3 linked regions of the Canis lupus familiaris genome follow. Each later gene encodes a partner of the first gene's protein in a complex. Links are inferred from orthologs where the notes say so. Each region holds a gene or a part of one and is shown on either strand. Other genes may lie near its edges. The genes, in order: NMUR2, NMU and GNAI1.

What was found.
Region 2: the proteins of NMUR2 (region 1) and NMU are in contact, whole or in part, in a cryo-EM structure (PDB 7XK8), measured with the Homo sapiens proteins. The link is inferred for Canis lupus familiaris from reciprocal best matches to the Homo sapiens genes NMUR2 and NMU. Residues at the interface, in NP_064552.3 of Homo sapiens: Ser42, His43, Gly98, Glu102, Glu105, Met106, Trp107, Arg108, Asn109, Tyr110, Pro111, Thr123, Phe126, Glu127, Asn181, His185, Pro199, Ser201, Thr203, Cys204, Val206, Tyr213, Phe284, Arg288, Phe291, Glu295, Trp297, Ser298, Glu299, Ala302; in NP_006672.1 of Homo sapiens: Glu146, Phe152, Ala153, Ser154, Gln155, Gly158, Tyr159, Phe160, Leu161, Phe162, Arg163, Pro164, Arg165, Asn166.
Region 3: the proteins of NMUR2 (region 1) and GNAI1 are in contact, whole or in part, in a cryo-EM structure (PDB 7XK8), measured with the Homo sapiens proteins. The link is inferred for Canis lupus familiaris from reciprocal best matches to the Homo sapiens genes NMUR2 and GNAI1. Residues at the interface, in NP_064552.3 of Homo sapiens: Thr78, Thr80, Glu143, Arg144, Ala147, Ile148, Pro151, Phe152, Ala154, Leu156, Met239, Leu243, Gln259, Cys262, Arg263, Val266, Leu330, Ser331, Arg333; in NP_002060.4 of Homo sapiens: Glu28, Ala31, Arg32, Leu194, Ile343, Ile344, Lys345, Asn347, Leu348, Lys349, Asp350, Cys351, Gly352, Leu353, Phe354.

What each region holds. Positions count from the first base shown.
Region 1 is NC_049225.1:57,871,399-57,877,289, reverse strand, and holds the end of NMUR2 (neuromedin-U receptor 2), read right to left. Parts: intron 4,643-5,891; coding exon 4,368-4,642; 3' UTR 2,680-4,367; downstream 1-2,679. UniProt on the Homo sapiens protein: Receptor for the neuromedin-U and neuromedin-S neuropeptides.
Region 2 is NC_049234.1:48,651,393-48,658,824, forward strand, and holds the start of NMU (neuromedin-U), read right to left. Parts: upstream 4,928-7,432; 5' UTR 4,899-4,927; coding exon 4,808-4,898; intron 1-4,807.
Region 3 is NC_049239.1:20,213,460-20,220,337, forward strand, and holds part of GNAI1 (guanine nucleotide-binding protein G(i) subunit alpha-1), read left to right. Parts: intron 1-234; coding exon 235-392; intron 393-4,302; coding exon 4,303-4,431; intron 4,432-6,878. UniProt on the Homo sapiens protein: Guanine nucleotide-binding proteins (G proteins) function as transducers downstream of G protein-coupled receptors (GPCRs) in numerous signaling cascades.

The sequences.
Region 1 (5,891 bases):
GATTTCAGTTCAGATCATAATCTCAGGGTCATGAGATCAACCCCCACATAGGGCTCTGCACTGGGGTGGAGCCTGCTTAAGATTCTTTCTCTCACCCTCTCCCTTCCCCCCTCCCCACCAGCTCACACAGGCTCGCTCACTCATGAGCGTGTGCTTTCTCTCTTAAAAAAAAAAAAAGAGGTCTCCAGCCAAGTAGAGAGAATGTGGAAATTTAAATTTTGCATCTTTTTACAATGAATCCTGTGGGATATTTAAAAACAGATGTATAGGGAAGATAACATGTAGAGCTGTTACTATTTTCTACATTGATATTAATGGAGAGCATCCAAGAATAATTATTCCATTCTAGGTTAATTATAAAATGCTGATGAGGCTTTCATGTCATAATTAGCATTATCTCATACCTCAGGGTCAAAATCTGGTTCAAAGAGGTGGTGGAAAGGGAGGTGGGCAGGGGGTGGGGATGACTGGGTGATGGGCACTGAGGGGGGCACTTGATGGGATGAACACTGGGTGTTATGCTATATGTTGGCAAATTGAACTCCAATTAAAAAATATGTAAAAAATAATTTAAAAAATAAAATTCTTTTTTTATTTTCTGTAAAACAAAAAACAAAAAACAAAATCTGGTTCATTGACTACTATTTTTTCCAACGAGTTAACCACAACTTTAAGTGCTCTGTAATTATAATGGTGTTATTGGGCATCTATTCTACAAATCAATCATGTATATTATAGAAAGATGGCAGATTGCCAGTGTATTGATGGTTAGTGGTGTGCTGATAAGATGGCTCTGGAGGGGGGTGGTAAGAACCCTGATGTAAAATATTTGCCAACTTCTGGTGGTATAAATATTCCCACTGTGGCCGATTTCAGGTTACCAATCATATAACACCAGGCTCTCAAAATTCCTAAATATGTAAAAATAAACTTTTGGAGGCCAGTCTGAGCCAGCATCAGCACAACACTGAGCCACTAATACTTATAAATGCTAGATTCTTGGGATCCCTGGGTGGCTCAGCGGTTGAGCATCTGCCTTCAGCCCAGGGCATGATCCTGGAGTCCTGGTATCAAGTCCCATATCGGACTCCCTGCATGGAGCCTGCTTCTCCCTCTGCCTTTGTCTCTGTTTCTCCCTGTGTCTCTCATGAGTAAATAAATAAAATCTTTAACAAAAAAACACCAGACTCTTATGTTGGAATAATGATACTTTTAAATTCTCCTGCAATGCCTTCATCCAACTATAACTCATCCATTAAGACAGCATCTTTATGTTAGACTGTTAAGGATACTTTACAATAGTAATTATAATAATTTAAGTCATAGACTACTTTGAGAAGCTAATCAAAACTATAAGCTTTCTTGACAAAAAAGTACACACTAAGAGTTACGAACACAATTTCAGGAGATTCTTGGACTTCCTGACACATGTTCATGAGTCTCAGATTAAGGATCTTGGCTGTCGGGCAGCCCCAGTGGCGCGGCCGTTTAGCGCCGCCTGCAACCTGGGGTGTGATCCTGGAGACCTGGGATGGAGTCCCACGTCAGGTTCCTGTGGGGGGCCTGCTTCTCACTTCTGCCTGTGTCTCTGCCTGTGTCTCTGCCTGTGTCTCTGCCTCTCTCTCTCTCTCTCTCTCTCTCTGTGTCTCTATGAATAAATAAACAAAATCTTAAAAAAAAAAAGAATCTTGGCTGTCTTTATGGACTAGACAATTAATTTGGCAAACAACATTCTGAATGTCTTCAGTTCACTAAATTCATGAAATACCAGAGACCTCAAAAGTCACTGTTTAATTGCAAGAGTTAAATTACCAATATGTTATTAATCATGTTTACTGGCCTCTTCTGTCATTATTCCAAAATGCAGAGATCACAAGGAATTCACAAGGAGATGATGAAGTCAGCTATTGAGCAGCATTGAGCAATTTAGTTTTTATTTTTCTCTTTGTTCTACTAATTGTATGTGAACCATTACATCAGCTCTTAGACTTGTGACATTTCAATTTTCATTTTGAAATATGTTTCCTATATGTGTATATATGCATGTGTATATGAATATGTATATAGACAAAATATCAACACTTAACTCCTTTTCCCCTTCTTAAATGCTAGGCTTAATTAAATCTATTGCCCTTGACTTGAACAACACCTTTTTTTATATAGTAGTATAGCACTTGTATTTGTATTTTGTAGCACACTTCACACACATACACACACACACATACATACAGAAATAATTTCTTCTACAAAATGTAAACTCTCAAGGCCAGAAAATTCATAACCTGGCATAATGCACATAACCTATGGGTACTAAGTGATTTATCAAAGAAATAATTAATGAGCAAATAATTCTTATATACATTTTTGAGAGAAAAAAGGTAAATAAAGAGAAAACAGATCAAAATTATAATCAAACAGCAAAATTACTAGCTTCAATTTTAGTGTTCTTTTTCTATGCATTCACCTACAATAGCAGCATATTTAGTTGTGGTCACTGGGAGTTGATGTTAAGGCAGGTGACCTTATTAGATCTTAATTTGAGCATGCTTCTAAAAGGTGAGAAGGAAATTAATTTCTCCTCCATTTCTGAGGTTTTATTTTGTTGAGTCCTTTCAACATGATCTTCAAATGACTCAAGGATTCTGCTCACCAACATAAACCATCACTGGAGGACTCTAATTCATTCAAGTTGGCTTATAATTAGCAAAGAGATTTAAAAATACATACATTGAATCACCTTGAATATGATTGTTCGGTTAGGAAATAATGATGTCAGGGACCAATATCCCCATTTATCAATAGGATGGCTCATTCAATTTAGGGAAAATTCAGAGACTAAAAACTGGAACTTGTAGTTTTAGCATCAGTAAGTATCTGGGATTGGGAAGAGCCTTCTTGTACCACAGGCACTGCAGACATGCTATTATAATCACAACTGGCTAAACAGCCAACTGAAAGTCAAATATCCCTATCAGAAACACAACCTTAGTCTTTTGGCTTTTACTGCAGTTCCATTTGGAGCTGTTCTTTGGCTCAGCACATTGGAATGTGAAGTCAACTCACTTACCACATATTTATTGAACATCTACCATTGTGACAGATATATTGCCAGGATTCCAGCAACAGGAAAAATGAATACAAGATACTTCATGCCTTTGACAAATTTACATTCTGACAAAACAAGTATATAAATCTCTGAAATACAAAGCGGAGTGAGAAAAAGCTTAAGAGAGAGACTGACAGGTCAGATACCACATCTATTTGAATAAGTCAAGCAGGGTTTTATGGAGGTACCACACTGAGATCGATTGAAGCATGGGTAGGAGAGCAACAGATGGGGCCTGGAGATGAAGAGGGCATTTTCTAATCAAATATGTACAGCTGAGATAACTGGGGCACATTTTCATTAGAAGAGCAAGTAACCCATTTTGAATAGAATATATATTCCATGTGATGCTGTAGTAGAAGATGAGTCTGGAAAGTTGATTTTTCTTATACGTGTGAAGACTGGTATATAGATAATGAAGGATTAAGTAAGTGAAAGTCATGGGTTTGAGACCAGTAGTTGCTATTTAGCTTAGGTTTTTTCCCAACATAGTTTTTTCCTCCAGATACCTCTGTTTATTAAGACTTTAGGAATGCATGTCTAGACCAAACTATGAGAGCAATTAAGTTCACATGCTTGGAATAGTTTGTCTCTATTGACCTTCCACACATAACCTTCTCCCTCTTCCCATTCTTGTCTAAGTAGAACTTGTATCTGATCCCATTTTTGGTAAGGGATGACTGAGAATGACTTGGGGATCAGAAAGGTGGGAATAATAGTTCTATAAAGCATCCCCATATTATCAGGAGGACTCTTCAAGTAAGGCTTCAAAACTTTAATGAATCACATTATAATGACAAAATATGAGGCAATAGGGTAAATAGTTTTCTGTGGAAGAACATTGACATGGATACCTCAAATTATGTAAAGTAGTATAAGCATCTACATGGCTTCTTTTTATGTCACACAGGGGCCACTGGTTGTGAGAGTTACAGCCTAACTCAGAGTGTGAATGACTCAGGATAAATGATTTCCAAAAGTGAAAATTACTCAAAGTACAGGTGTCATATTTTATAGGTCATGATTATTTTTTCTTTCCATGAACAAGTAAAGGGGCATGAGGCAGTTAACCCAGTTCTGGGTTTCAGATCCAGATTTAGTAGCGATTTGTTTTAAAAAAAACCCACACAAAATAGAAATGGGTATATAAATTCTAAGACTCATTTCACCTCCCTTCTATCCTATAAGGAGGCATAAATTAAGGGTGTCCCTCCCTATGGGATGGTGGCATAGAGGAATGTTAACTCTTTGAGCATTCCTTTTATGGTGCCTCTCCACTACAGAGTGTTGTGGGGAGGGGAGAGCTGCTGATGGACAACTGACAAGGGAACTGGGGACCTGCATCTTCAGTCAGCTCCACAAGGTGACATTCTGTCAGGAAGATGTTCCGCTGGGCAGGTGGCCCCTGTGGGTGGTGCTGGGAGTGCCCCTGTTTGCAAGAAGGAGAGATCACATTCCTGAATGCTGCCCGGAAGCGGCGAGAGAGTAGGTTATAGATAATGGGGTTGACGGCTGAGCTCAGGTAGAAGAAGACACCTGGAACACAGGAGATTAAAAAAAGAGACACACTGAGGAGAAACTGAGTGAGAGGTATGATAGAGAGAAGTATAAATATTTAACAAGGGCCTCGAATCCCTGAGACTGCCTCTTTTGGAAGTAATAATATATACAAGACTCTAATTGAGAATACAAAATGCTCTGAACAGATCTACCACCTGTGTATTTAGGAATCAAACACAGAAAGATTAAAGAGTCTCAGAAAAATTTAGGCTGGCATGGGATCTCTCTGAGATGCTTGGCAATTTCCTTTGATCCCCACTTGTTTAATTAAAGAACATGCTCTCATAGCATTAATGAGAGATGCTTAAGTATCAGAGGAAAGAGAGATTGTTTTTATCTCATTGGAGCTTTGCTTAAATCTATAATTTGAAACTGCAAGTGATGGAGGAATAGCAAATCAGTTAAGGCATAGTCTCTGCTGAGATTTCTTATAATGCTAACTATCTCTTCAATAAAATATTCCCCAGGGCCCTTTTCCTACCTGGCCTTTCCCCTTGATGGCTCTTCCCACCTTCCAACTTCATTAAATAATTGTATTTTGCCATTCGTTTTCTCCACCAAATGCCTTGCACACTGCCATTTCCTTGTTTTATACACACTTCTTTTATTACTATATCCTGTTTTATTTCCCCAAGGCCCAAGATGGGCCTAAGGTTGAGAATCAGAAGACTTAGTTTCTGATCTTGTCCCTTGCTTGTTCTGTGACAGAGGGAACTGGCACTTCAATTCTTTTCTCTGCAACATACCATCCCAACCTACCTCTCTGAATTACTGTGAGGATAAAGTTGAGATGCTATCACAGAGGGACTGAGAATGGCTAAGAATATAAAACAAGTGATAGGTACTGTTAACAACATTCATTGTTGTCCTCATTTACATAGTTCAGGACATACAGAGTGCCATATGCCCTATGCACAGAATTGGGCAGGGAGGAATACAAGAGAAGAATATTGCTATAGACTGTTAATTCATTCAATAAATTCTTATTTTGTGCCAGAAGCTTTGAGGCACATTGGTAGATAGTAGATTTAGACTTCGTTCTCAAGAACATGGAATAGTATTATAGAGGAAAAATCTATGCCTAAATTTAGTAGTTAACAAAAGAACAATACCAAACTGTATCTATTAAGAGCGAAACATATGATACTAACTGTCACCCTATGGAAATTCACATAATAGCATAAACACAAGGACTATAATAATCATGAAGGATTTAATTAGGTGA
Region 2 (7,432 bases), on another chromosome or scaffold:
TCTATCAAGTTCCCTGATGATACTGATGCTACTGGTTCTTGGATACCACTGAACATCCAGGAGGATAGAACATTGCATCGTAGGAAGAAATGGAGGATGCCTCATTGTTCAACACAACTAAGCAGCTCAAAGAGACATTTTAGGTCCAAGCTTCTCTCTAACAAGTCTGAACACTTCCAAAATGGGGTATGGATGTTCTCTCGAAAACCACCTAAAAGGCCATTGGCCCATTCCTTACAACTTGGACGCCCTGCTTATCTGCAGTTACTAAGACTGAATAATAGGAAGGTGGAATGGAGAGGAATGGAAGGGGAGGGCACGATTTGATGGAAAAGAACAGAACCAGAGGCAGGTACGGATGCAAAGGGAAAACACAAAGATTTCCACTCTTTCGATTCAGTCTTTACCAGCATGTACTTCTGATTTCTCCACTCACTATACCACTGTTCATTTCTCTTTGACAGGTGCTCCTGTTTAAAGAATACAATTTTATACTCTTTTTTTTTTGTTTTAAATTTTATTTATTTGAGATAGAGAGAGAACATGAGCAGGGGGAGAGGGGGAGGGAGAAGCAGGCTCCCCTCTGAGCAGGGAGCCCAACACAGGTTCATGACCTGAGCCAAAAGCAGATGCTTAACCAACTGAGCCACCCAGACACCTCACAATTTTATATTCTTTCTTCACCTGCCTGTCTCCCACCCTTCGGTAAAAGTGGAAGCTCCCAGCTCCATGCTGCCTCCCGGTGAGCTTGCCTCCTTCCACATCCCAAGCTTGCATGGGCCACACAGAAATTGCCATGATATCTTACTCCCAAGCACTTATATAATCAAAAAGGGGTACTTTGTGGTTCTTACACAACACATGTAAACAGTCTCAGGGTAAAAAGGTTAGAGGAGCCAAAATTTCAAAATGTTTTTAATTTATAGAAACTCCGAGTACCAGACCCAAATGTAAAAAGGAAATATTTTTCTTCCCTTTGTGTACTTGTTAACCAAAGTTGATGTGATTTTTTCCCCCAAGATACCCTAGGTATGGGCTTTATATAGTCAAATAGTAGTACTAGATACTTTTTTTTTTTAATTTATGATAGTCTCACAGAGAGAGAGAGAGAGAGAGAGAGAGAGAGGCAGAGACACAGGCAGAGGGAAAAGCAGGCTCCATGCACCGGGAGCCCGATGTGGGATTCGATCCTGGGTCTCCAGGATTGCGCCCTGGGCCAAAGGCAGGCGCCAAACCGCTGCGCCACCCAGGGATCCCTAGATATTTTCTTAAGTATAGTCAAAGTGTCGTTATCTCGTAGATTACAAAAACTGCACTGTTTTTGATCAGCTTTAAGATACTTATATACTGTCTAGTAAAGTGAAACCTTTAGTCTTATAGTGTACAGTCTAACTAATGCAAATAATACGGATAGACAACTTTTGCATCTGCAAATACACCATCTGTTAGAGAAAGAAGAACTGACCTTTAGATTGGGGTATAACCAACATACATTATGCTAGTTGCAGCTGCACAACATAACAATCCTAAATTTCCTAAATTTGTATATATTGTGAAATGATCACCACAATAAGTCTCATTAACATCTATCACCAACGTAGTTACAGAGGTTTTTTTTCTTGTGATGAGAACTTTTAAGATTCACTCTTAGCAGCTTTCAAATACACCATGTAGTCACCATGCTTTACATTACATCCTCATGGCTTATTTATTTTATAAATGGAAGTTTGTACCTTTTGACTCCCTTTACGCATTTCAAACTTCCACCTCCTACCTCTGTGAACCCCTATTCTGTTCTCTGTATCCACATGCTTGGTTTGATTTTGTTTTGCTGGGGTTTTTTAGATTGCATGTACAAGTCAGATCATATAGTACCTGTCTCTCTCTGAAAAACAGAGATAATTACTTTTCTTAAAGATTTTATTTATTTATTCATGAGAGACACACACACAGAGGCAGACACAGGCAGAGGGAGAAGCAGGCTCCATGCAGGGAGCCCAATGCTGGTGGGGGGGGGGGGAGGACCCAATCTGGGATTCCAGGATCACACCCTCAGCCAAAGGCAGACACTCAACCGCTCAACTGCAGAGCCACCCAGGCATCCCCAGACTTAATTATTCTAAAAGTGGTGCTAATTTTCTTTCCTTGTTGCTAGCACTTAGCTAGTGTAGGGTTCCAAAGTGAGAAATTGTTACTACTGACTGAATTTTAAGACATAGTCAATGAGCAGGAGTCTGAATTTTAAGACATATTCAAAGAGCAAGGGTCTGAGTAGGAAAAAACCCTTCTTAATTTAGTCTTGGGCACTTTGATCACTTACTGTCACAAGCCAAATCAAGGTTTGTTGCAGTTATCCAAAATGTTCCCTCTTTTAGAAAATTTCTTTCTTTATTTTAATGATGCTCTTTGAATCGTAAACTGTTTCCATCCACCAGACTTGTGACTGGCTCTTTATCTTGCTGTTGCATGCTCTGCTAACTCATTTTGCCAAGGATGCTCCACTTTTTGACACTATTTTATTTTCCTACGGCTTTGTGATATTTGTTTTGTTGTTTTTAGATACATCCAGTTACATCCTGCATAATGATTAATCTTCATAGATTATCTCCCAGTTTTGATTATGTATGTCATGCTTCCCTTCCAATGCCATTTTTAGGGACTCAGGACTAGGGAAGATCATACTATGTTCACTCATTCCCCTCTCCCTCACATCTTTAGAGAGATAAAATTATTTTTTTCAATATCAAGAGCAGGTCTAAAGGGGAAAAAGATACAAAATGATAGTCTAGGGGGTTTCTGTGCAGTGGAAAAGGCATCTTGTCTGTTTGCTTGAGAAATACTGGGGATGTTTATGAGATGATTGGTCAGCCAGCAGAAACATTCTTTCTCAACATAAAACCCAAGACTTGTCTTTTGCGATGAATGGATAAAGAAGATGTGGTTTATGTATACAATGGAATATTACTCAGCTATTAGAAATGACAAATACCCACCATTTGCTTCAACGTGGATGGAACTGGAGGGTATTATGCTGAGTGAAGTAAGTCAGTCGGAGAAGGACAAACATTATATGTTCTCATTCATTTGGGGAATATAAATAATAGTGAAAGGGAAAATAAGGGAAGGGGGAAGAAATGTGTGGGAAATATCAGAAAGGGAGACAGAACGTAAAGACTGCTAACTCTGGGAAACGAACTAGGGGTGGTAGAAGGGGAGGAGGGCGGGGGGTGGGAGTGAATGGGTGACGGGCACTGGGTGTTATTCTGTATGTTAGTAAATTGAACACCAATAAAAAAAAAAAAAAAAGACTTGTCTTTTGCCAAAAAAAAAAAAAAGGCCTTCTACAGTTTCTGCTTAATCACCAGCAGCCTGAAAATTCCCCCATTTCTCAAAAAAGCAGTTATCTCCCACCGATCCAAATATCACTGTAATCATATAGCATGTAACATGTATAGCAGGTACATTTGCTTTACAGAGAAAAGGACACTTTTAAAACTATAATCATCTGCTTCTTTAACAAGGTAGATAAAGACTGCCACCCTAATTCTACCAAAAACAAATTAAAAACATTAAAATATTAACACTACCTTGCATAGGTTATGCTGTAGCATTGCTGGCTATGTGATGGAGAAGGTTTAGGTCTAGCTTCGGACTGCTAACATTCCATAGCCAAATGACCTCATTTTGCAAGCAGGAGAGCTCCTCCCCACCTCCTTCTCCAATACCCCCAGGAAAGGGGCCAAAAAACCAAAAATGATAAAAGGACAGCAATAAAAATAAATATATTGGAAAAGAATAGCTTCAGTTTCTCCACCTCTAATTGAAGGCTGGCCTGCAAGCTCTGAAAGGCCCCTGCAGTTACGGTTTCAAGTCCCCAGTGCTCTCAACAGTGATGACATGGTCTGCGCACCTCTGCCTCACCGCCAGGAGGGCAGAGGGAAGCTAAGGGAACCTGCTGTGGAGTTAGAAGATTCAGTCTTGGCAGGATAGTGGCTGGCCCTGGAGGGGACTCTGGATCAGAGGTGGGGGGCAAAGGATGGATCCCTCCAGGTAATCTTTGGGGAATAGGGGAGTGATCTCCCCGCTGGAACATACTGGGCTTCCTTCTACCTCGTCTCCCAAGCTGCAGACATCCCTCCCTGACCTCGATTTTGCTTTTTCCAGTTCTTTTCTCTGAGCCAAGCACTGGAAATCCCTATTTTATCAGATGGCATCTGCCTTCACTGGCTTTCGCTGCGGCACTGATTGAAAGCCCGGCTGGCGCACTTGCCTCTCCAACTCTGTGATACAAAGAAAGTCTCCGTTCTTTTTCCTGACCTGGTGCGTCAGAACCTAGAAAGGCACCGAGCGCACCCCCGTCCCCTTCTAAAGGGCCAGAAGGGGGCCTGTTTCGTCGCTCGGGGTGATCTGAACGCAACAGGAGCTCACTCCCTAAAGGAGAGCGGCGCTCTCCCGAGTTCACCGGCAGCAGCGCCAGGTGATCGGCAGGTGTCAAAGTCCAGTTCGGCTTTAGCCATCAATCCGGCTAGTCATTGCCACGAAAGGGAACGCACTTTAATTTTCGGCATGTTCGTTCGTTCAAGTTTTCCCGGGTCCGCGGGCCACGGACGTCCCGCGCGTGAGGGAGCCCAGCCAGGTGCGCGGGACCTGCGGGGCTGGGGGCCGGTGCGCGGCGCCGCGCGAGGGTCGTCAGAGGCGGGAAGCCGGGGAGCCCCCCCCCCCCCCCCAAGCCGACAGCAGAAAGGGAGGAAGAGAGCGAGGCAGGTGGCCCGGGGAAGGCGCCAGGACGGCGGGCGCGGGCGCTCACCTGGGCAGGTGCCCGCACAGCAGGCGAGCAGCAGCAGCAGCAGCAGCGGCGGCGGCGGGGGCGGCGCGGGCATCTCGGCCGCTGCGGGCATCTCGGGGCTCAGCGCGGCACGCGGGGCCCTGGCAGTGCCTCCGGGTCCCGGACGCGCGGCTCGCGGGGCTCCGCCGCCAAGTTTTAAATCTGGCGGACACGTGGGCTGGGGCGGCGCGGTCCCCACGCGCGTCAGCTCGCCGCCCACGCCCCCGGGCTCCGTCGCGTCACTCGCGACCCGCCGCCCGCCCCCGGCCCCCACCCGCGGCGGGACCCGCCCCCGGCCACTGTCGTGACTCAGGGCGCCTCTCGCTCCGGCCGCCCCGGGGCTCGGGGATGAGCCTGGAAACGACCCAGTGCACGTCCGTTCCCTGCTCGGAGAGGGTCTGGGCGGGGGCTGGAGAAGGAGCGCGAGCCCGGAGGCCCGAAGGGGCCGGGATCGGGGTTCTTACGCGGGGTGGGGGGGGGTCCTGGGACGCCCCTGGCGCACCTCTCGGGAAGGCCTCCTCTGCCGCACCCACTGTGCGCACCTCCACCTCCGCAGAAGCACCTCTGTCCCGCTCTTTCCTTCGTCCCCAGCTCCCAGCTCAAGCCCGGTGCGTACCGGAGTACCAGTGGTGACCCTGGTGTTCCCCCAATTCCTGCAAGATCTGAGATCATTTAGGGAAATGCAGTTATCTGTTGAAGAAGCTCGAGGAGAAAGGATTGCTGGGATTTGACCACACATACATTTCCAATAGGTCTGGAAGGTCTCTGGCTATCCTATGTGTTCCCAAGGTTGCTCGTTTTTCCATGCGTTTCTCCCGCGGTCCCTCCCCCTAGCTGTTGCTTTCTGATTTCTAGGGTGATGGGAACTCTGCCATCCCCCTCCATACTTTCCTTTACTTCCTAAGTGGAAATGTCCAGGAAGCAGCCTCTCTAGGACACTGGCTGATACTGTTTTAATTTCCTTCTACTGAAAGAGGGAAGACTGAGCTCATTTGACCTCCTTACGAAAGCAACACAGAGGAAAGGGTAGAAAGGAAGTACATTAACATTTCCTAAGGGACATCTTCCCCTGCTATTTAATTTAACACTCATGTCATCTCTGGAAGGTAAAACTATTATGACGCTTATTTGATGATACTGATGATACTTGGAGATTAAATTGTCTGCCCAAGGATATCAGCCTGTGGGAGAGACCCCTCTGCGAAGACCTTTCTTCTCTAAGCTGGGGATTTTAATGCACTAGAAATGCACTGTGCAAAGCACTATAGGCAAAGTGGGGCCTTAAAGACTAGAATCTTTAGTAACAGGAGGAATTTCCCTAAAGGAAATTAGAACTTGGTGAAGGGCCCCAAATCCATACTGAAATAGCTGTCTTACAAGGCAAGTGCTCATCCTGACAGGTAATAAGAAAAAAATAGTCACTCCTGTTTTTAAGTTTTCATGCAGCATATGAGCAAGGCCGGATGACAGTCATGGTCCAAACCAGGAATCAAGGATGGATGAGAATAGATTTGATCAGTATTGCTTAAGCTTTGATTTATTCCCAAAGTAGTAAAAAGGTAGTGCAGAGGATTTTGATGGGTGGAGGTGGCCCTGATTCCCAATTGCCTTCCTGTATTTCCTGGAGGTGCACTGAAGGATGTCTAGCTTCAGCAGCTTGTGTGGGGTGAGATGTCAGTGAGAACAGAGAAGCCTGCAAATAGTGGCCTCAAGGCTTTTTATACCCCAGCAGGTCAGCAAAAGAAACAACTCATGCATTGCAAGTATTTTTTTCTGCATGAACCTGGTGGCTCTGAATGTCCTTGTACATGTCCCTTGGTGCACATGTGCAGGAGTTTTCAGAGGTCTGTACTTGGAAGTAGAGTTATCATGGGAGAAAAATCTCATTAAACTCTACTTTAAATTGTTTTCCGATGTGTTATACCAATCTCCACACCACCAACAATGCATGAAATTTCCATTGCTGCACATCCTTGCAGAAAGCTTTGCCAGTCTGGTGGGTGTGGCATCTCATTATGGATTTAATTTACAATTTCCAGCATTAATAATAAGGGTGAGTATCTTTTCACAAATATATTCGCCATTGCTGTTTTCGCAACAGTGAAATGCCCATTTGTTTCTTGCCCCCATTGGGTTGTTAGGCTTTTTATTTTTTTTAACCCATTATAGGAATGCTTTATGTATTCCAGAACTTTTATTAGTTAAATGTTTGGCAAATATTTTCTCCTCACTTATGGCTTGTGTTCTACTCTCTGTATATGAGTTATTTTTGAAAAAATTGCTTAAGAAAAGATGTGCCGACTAATGGTCATGCTGTTGTGTGACTTGGATGATAAGAGAAGATGGATGGGAGAATGAGGGAAGATAGGCACTTTAGTTACCCATAAGCAGACTATGGATTCCACAACTGACTGAATGAAGCTGATTCCAGAGGTCCCCTTTTGTCCAAATATTTCAAGGAAATTAGATCCCAGATTTCTGCAGGGGAGGCTTAACAATTCTCTTACAAACATTGCAATCTGTACCTAGAAGTTCTTATTTATTTATTTATTTATTTATTTATTTATTTATTTATATTTCTAAGTGATTATTTATTTATTTATTTAT
Region 3 (6,878 bases), on another chromosome or scaffold:
GACCGCTTATTACTAATATTACAAAACATAGACCTGCGATTTAAGGTTATGCTCTTTTGGTTAAGCCATTTTTTTAAGTGGTGCTTCAGAGAACTAAAAGCCATGACCCCAATGAAAAACAAAGGAAATGCATGATTGCACTTTTCGTAATCTAGAATGCCTCCCTCTGTACTTTTAATCTGTAATGTCTCCCTTTTTTACTTATTAAAAAAAAAATGGTCTTTGAATGTTCAGGATGATGCCCGCCAACTCTTTGTGCTTGCTGGAGCTGCTGAAGAAGGTTTTATGACTGCAGAACTTGCTGGAGTTATAAAGAGATTGTGGAAAGATAGTGGCGTGCAAGCCTGTTTCAACAGATCCCGAGAGTACCAGCTTAATGACTCTGCAGCATAGTAAGTAATCATGACTTCAGAACTAAACTATCATGAATAATTTCTTGCAAGTCAAATATACCTCCAAGTCAGTGCTATTGCAGAACTGGCTGACACATTTCTTGTAAAACTCAGGATATTCAGGATGACAGTATTTGAAAACTTTTCTGGATTTTTTGGTGTGTTTGTAGATAGCATTGCTGTTATTTCCTTTGTGTTCGGAGGTGTCTCAAGAGACTCACCCTTATGTAACTCTAATTGAAACATTCAGAATAGACTGTTGGCAGCATATTTCCAAGAAAGTAAACTGGAACTTTGCAAAGTTCACCCTGAATTTGAGCGTATCTCAAGTTTGTGTGGGGCCAGCCCAAGGGGAGGGGAGCTGATTTGGTTCTTTTCACTAAACTTAAAAGTGCCTGAGAAGAATTATTTGTCCAGTGACAGGCACCCTGCATGAGATGTACCTCTTTTAGAGGGGTGTATGGTGATCCCAAGATGTTTCCTCATTGAGTAAAATATCTCTACGCTTGAAAATTGTCAATTGTATGTGCTCTGTTGCATTAGATATCATTTACAGATAGCTAAGTACAGTATTTTGTAAGAAAAACCTGCCCTGATTTTCTAAGTGGTGGCCACTGAGAGTTCATAAAGCAAAACCTGGTCAGGGAGCTTTCTGCTTGGTGATCTAGCTACAGTAAAAAAAATAAATAAAAATTAAAAAATCAAGTGTTTGTTTCCATAATCTAGCAGACACAGTCAAAAATGTCAGATATGAGTAGCATTAACTGGTCTTAATACATGTGCTCTGTGCTCCTTTTACTTTATTCCATTTTCTTGACAGCTACTGGTGTTCAGGGACACAAATGAGGGTGAGAGAGAAGATGATGGTTACTAGAGAGGACTAGGTAAATACACCCATTTCACCACAGTGAGAAATAGGTTACGGCTCTCCCCAATTATCACTCAGCAGGTCATTGGCTACACATAAGAATACTCAGTTTCTGTTCTGTGATTTAGTGTGAGGGAGTAAATACACCTTACTGTGTAACCCATACCAATTTTTATTAGTATTTCCTATTCTATATATTTTTTTTAAGATTTCATTTATTTATTCTTTGGAGAGACAGAGACAGAGGCAGAGGTTAGAAGCAGGCTCCCTGCAGGGAGCCCGATGTGGAACTTGATCCTAGGAACCCTGGGATCACGCCCTGAGCTGAAGGCTCAACCACTGAGCCACCCAGGCGACCCCTAATCTGTATTTCTAATGCTTTATGACTATGTAAGCTATATAATATATACATATTATTTTGTATGTATTTTCTATATGTATATGTAACATGTTACTGAATATGTAGCTCCCCTCTCCAACTGGTGTCATCTTTTCTTAGGATATATGCCTTGACTCACAGATAGGTCTTTGCCTCCCTGTCTTACATACTTAAAATACAAAATATTTCTTTCAGAGCACTCACAGATTTACATTTGAGGTAATTTTTATTTGTGTTGAAATGATTTTCTGTCTCTGCCACTACACTGTAAATTCAGTGCGGTCTGTTTTCACCCTGTGTGCTTTCTCCATGACACACAGTTGTCATTTGCTATGCTCTTGTTTAATAATGAGTGAATGAATAAACCATACTTTACAGAAGCTCGAAGAGAAATTAGAAGAAAATGATTTACAGGAAGAACACGATTCTTAGACCATATTATTTGCTTTGGCACCACCAGCTCCTGCAGAAAGAGCTAAATGGGAATCACTCATGTTGAGAAGATTGCTCTGAGTAGAGCCCAGCTAGGGGAGCTTTTGCAGTAATTAAGGGGTCCTTCTCAGAGATGATCGGTTGAAGTCACTTTCCCTGTATGATGGGACTTCCTGGACCACTGCAGTCTAATGACCAAGACTTGTCCCGTGTGCTCAAGTATCGGGGTATGCACTGGAAAAATAAGTCATTTTGGTTCCCCAGTATTTCATTACTAGTAGTTCTGACTTCACGATGGCAACAAGGGAGCCACTTTTCAAGAATGAAGGAAGTCCTAGAAATCTTTTTCTCCATAGTGGTCACAGAGCCTCTTGATTTCTGAGTTTTGGGCTAGAGATGGGAGATGTTGCCAAGTTGCCCACTGGGACTATCTAACTACCAATTTACTTGAAATTCATGATCATTTTAAATAATTGGAGTTTTTCCCAATGCCGGATTAATTTGTGTTATTGAAATATGAATGTGCATTATTTTTAGAGACTATTGAGTAGCATTTTTAAGCAAATAAATGTATGGGAGTAATCAAAGTGCATTTTAAATAAGATTAACACACTATTTCAGAGGGACAATTCGTAAAATATTGCCATGTGTTTATTAGATTTTTTTTTTTACAATACTGTATATCATTATATATGTGGAATTAAAAACACAGAGTACTAGGGGATTATCAGCAATGTGATAATAAGATTATTTTAAGTTCAATAAATACAATGCAGATAACTCCAGGTATGCTCTATGAATTCTGGTATCAATATCACATACATATACTTAACTGTCTAAAACACTGTTGATTACTAATTCAGTGTTTCGATAGCTTTTCAACTCCATCTCTACAAATCAAATATTTATTGAGCTCCTTTTGTTTGTAAGATCTGTTCTAAATGGCTAAGGAACAGTTTCAGAAGATAACGTCCATTAAAGTTGTAGTAGTTGGTGCCTCTGTAATAAACACAGATGTGAATCTTCTAAATTATCTTTGACCACTGCACTCTAGTATCAGAAAACACTGTTGGGAAGCTTCCCATTTAGAATCAATTCCAGACTTCTCATTTGAGTTTATGCACAACTTCCTGGGGGCCTTACTTTGTGAGAAGCAAGATCTGACAATTCCTGCCTCCTCATACTGTTTGACTACTCTCCTGATCTGGATTGCATTCTTTTTTTCTGTTCACATCCCTCATCATTCAGATTTCTGTTTACAACCCTCCCCACCCATGAAGGCTTCTTTCACCACTCAGGTTCACATTACTCTCTTCATACCTGGACTTTCTATAACATTATTTACTATATAAAATGACACAGAATAATTTACAAAAATAATCGCATGGTATGACACCACTGCATTTTAGTAGCATAACATATTTGACATTGTTGGCAAAGAGTATTGAACGGGTGGGTGGCTAAAACCAGTGAGAAGTAAAATATGAATATATTTTTTTAAATATTTATTTATTTATGATAGACATAGAGAGCAGAGACACAGCAGGAGGGAGAAGCAGGCTCCATGCAGGGAGCCTGACGTGGGACTCGATCCCGGGACTCCAGGATTGCGCCCTGGGCCAAATGCAGGCACTAAACCGCTGAGCCACCTAGGGATCCCCAAATATGAATATTTATTTAGAGAACCAGTAAAATGCAGAGTAAAAGAGCGTGCGTAGTGTTTTCCTATTTGTAACTTAAAGCTGGCTGAAAAAGAATAGTATTGAATTTAGCCTTTGGCTGGAGATCTACTCATTACTTTCTCAAAAACTTCAGTCTTTGTAACTCCTCAACAAGAGTAATGTCCAGAAAAGAAATACATGCTACTTAAAAAAAGTGTAATAAAGACTTTTAAGAAGCTGACTCCTAGTGTACAATTGGTTGTGTGTGGTTTTTAAGAAATTATTCTGTTTTGTTTCTAACAAGGAGAATTACTAATTCGTGTCCTTAGGAAACAAAGTACACAGTACTTAGAAAATGTTAAAAGGGCTTTGTGGCTGGAGAAGTATACATTTTCATTTCAGTGGGAATTGTATAACATATAAACTTAAATTGGTTGTATTTTTACATCATTACACAGAAATATAAAAATTTCCATTGATTTATGATATTGCATGCATCAAAATGTTTTACTTCTTGATGTAGATGATCTTTAAGGGCTATATTAACTATTATTTTATTTATTTCTTCAGCTATTTGAATGACTTGGACAGAATAGCACAACCAAATTATATCCCAACTCAGCAGGATGTTCTCAGAACCAGAGTGAAAACAACAGGAATTGTCGAAACCCATTTTACTTTCAAAGATCTCCATTTTAAGTAAGTAGCTTTAAAGCATATCATTTACAAATTTAGGTATAAAATACCTTGTTCAGTAAAGAAAGGTGATTAGACAGACAATATTTTGGATGAAGAAGGACAGGAAACATTCTTAGGAATATTTAATTTTTATTTAAGAAAAAATGAACATGCAAATCTCTTGTTTATATTTTCAAAGTGATTTAAATAAAAATAATTTTTAGCTTTTATTTCTAAATAGAAAATATTGCTCTGATATTGCATATTTGGAGAAAGTGTTAACATGTATTCTTAGAATTTTACTGATTGTACATATGCTTATTTATGGAAATGGTAAAAATGAAGGGTACCTTTTAAAAGTTTTTATTCATTCAAATGTTTGCACTTTTTCATGATGAAAAATGTCATTTAGAGTATGCTAAATACTAACTTAATGAAGTTTGAGCAGAGAAGTACTGAATTGTAGCCTGTAGAAATGCAAGGGATCTCAGAACTTGTTTTGTCCAATACACTCATTTCATAATGAATGAGACTCAGGGAAGTTTAGTGAAACATTAATTTTCAGACCTATGTTCCTCTTTTTTAAAGTATGAAAAAAGTTATTGGACTGTGCTTCAGATAGCCCTAATGCTCTGAAACAGTTTTAATGAAGCAGAATTTCTGAAAGCACCTAAAGTTTCCTAGTCAAAGATGAAAATATTCTTGAAGGTCACTGTTACAAGTCGTGGGAAGTACAGTTACATATATGCAACTATACTGATGCAAATGTACTTCTGATTCCTTCTATAAGTATCTTATTTTTTAGGAGAGAGAGAGACAGAGCAAGAGCATGCGTGCACCTGAGGACATGGGAAAGGAGGAGGGGGAGAGAGTCTTAAGTAGGCTCAATGCCCAGGATGGAGCCTGGCATCGGTCTTGATCTCCCAACCCTGAGATCACGACCCAAGCTGAAATCAAGTCAGAGGCTGACCTGACTGAGCCCCCCAGATGCCCCTCTTCTATAAGTATTTTAAATATGTTTATTATCATTAGTCACTAATTTATCCCACTAATTTATCAGTGGTTCCTGTAATTGATTTTCCAGAAAACCAAAATTGAATTTTAATTTTCCATAGCAGCTTCCCTCCACCCTCCCCCAAAAAAAACATTGCCTGCTTTTTTTAAAAAACAGAATTACAATTCATAGTTTATCTGACCATGTAACTTTGTACTTAAATACATGATCAACTTTTTCATCTCCTTTTAATTCCTTTCTGTTTTCGCCAGTTTGTAAGCTGGCAGTGGACATTCTTTGGCTGGCAGTAGCTCTTACCAAAATCATTTACTTTCTTTTAATCTGTTCAGTACTTCTAGGATATTAAATGACCAAAGTGGGGAATAGTAAAACATTAATATTTAAATAGTCTGATAGGTCTGATCTGGGAACTATTATTATTACATTTATCTTAAAGTTATAATTTTAAGGAAACTTCACTGTCAGAATGAGGCTTCAAAGTTTTGGGGGTTTTTTTGTTTGTTTTTACTTAGATTCTGATTTTTTTTTTTTTTGCTTTTTGTTTACTCTTTTTTTAAACACCCTATTTTAAAAGCAAGCTTATATTGTTATGTTCAGCTAATGGCTTTAACAAATACAGTCTGAGGAGAAAATGCACGGAGCTGGGGAGAACGAGGGCAGAAGGAGACTTAGAATGATTCTGCAGGAGTTCCTGTGTTTCTCGTTTTCGTGTTTTGTATTGTAATTCGTTCTTTCATTTTAACAGCTGATGTAAAATTTCGGTTTCGCTTAGTATTTTGTATGATCAGAATTAAATTCAAGAGGAGGCAATAAGGCATTGTAATTTAAGAATACATATTCTCACCTCTCTGACTAGGCGTTTGTGGAAAGTGTCTGCGTGGATCATTTTGCTTTAAGGAATCAACCACTTTACTTTTTGCCAAATAGGGAATTATAGCATCCCTTCTCTTATAAAATTGTAAGATAGATTTCTCTTCCTTTTCTATAGTCGTATAAATGTGAAATGGGTTTTGGAGTACGTTATATGTATAGGGTGGATATGCCTGTAGGGTCATCTGGCTTCGTACCAGTCGGTCTTGGTCTCATAGGACAGTCTGAGAATATCAGAACATCTCAGAATCTTCAATATCCCTGTATACCTTTTCCGTCCCCTCCCCGAAAAAAAAAAAAAAAAAAAAAAGAAACCTAAGAAAACTCAAATTCATTCCCTCTTTGATGCTAGAAAAAAAACTCTCATCTGTTCATCTGAAGGAGAACATATTATTTTGTTCTGTTTTTGGTTAATTTAAAAAAAATCGGAATTTTAAGATAATTCTAATGTGTGAAAAAGGAATACTGCCTTATGCACAGTTATTTGTAACATCAGATTTTAGTCATTTTTGCTCCTTGGCTTAATGAGTTAAGACCAGTGATTCCCAAAGTATGGTCCCCAGATCAGCAGCATCAATTTTGC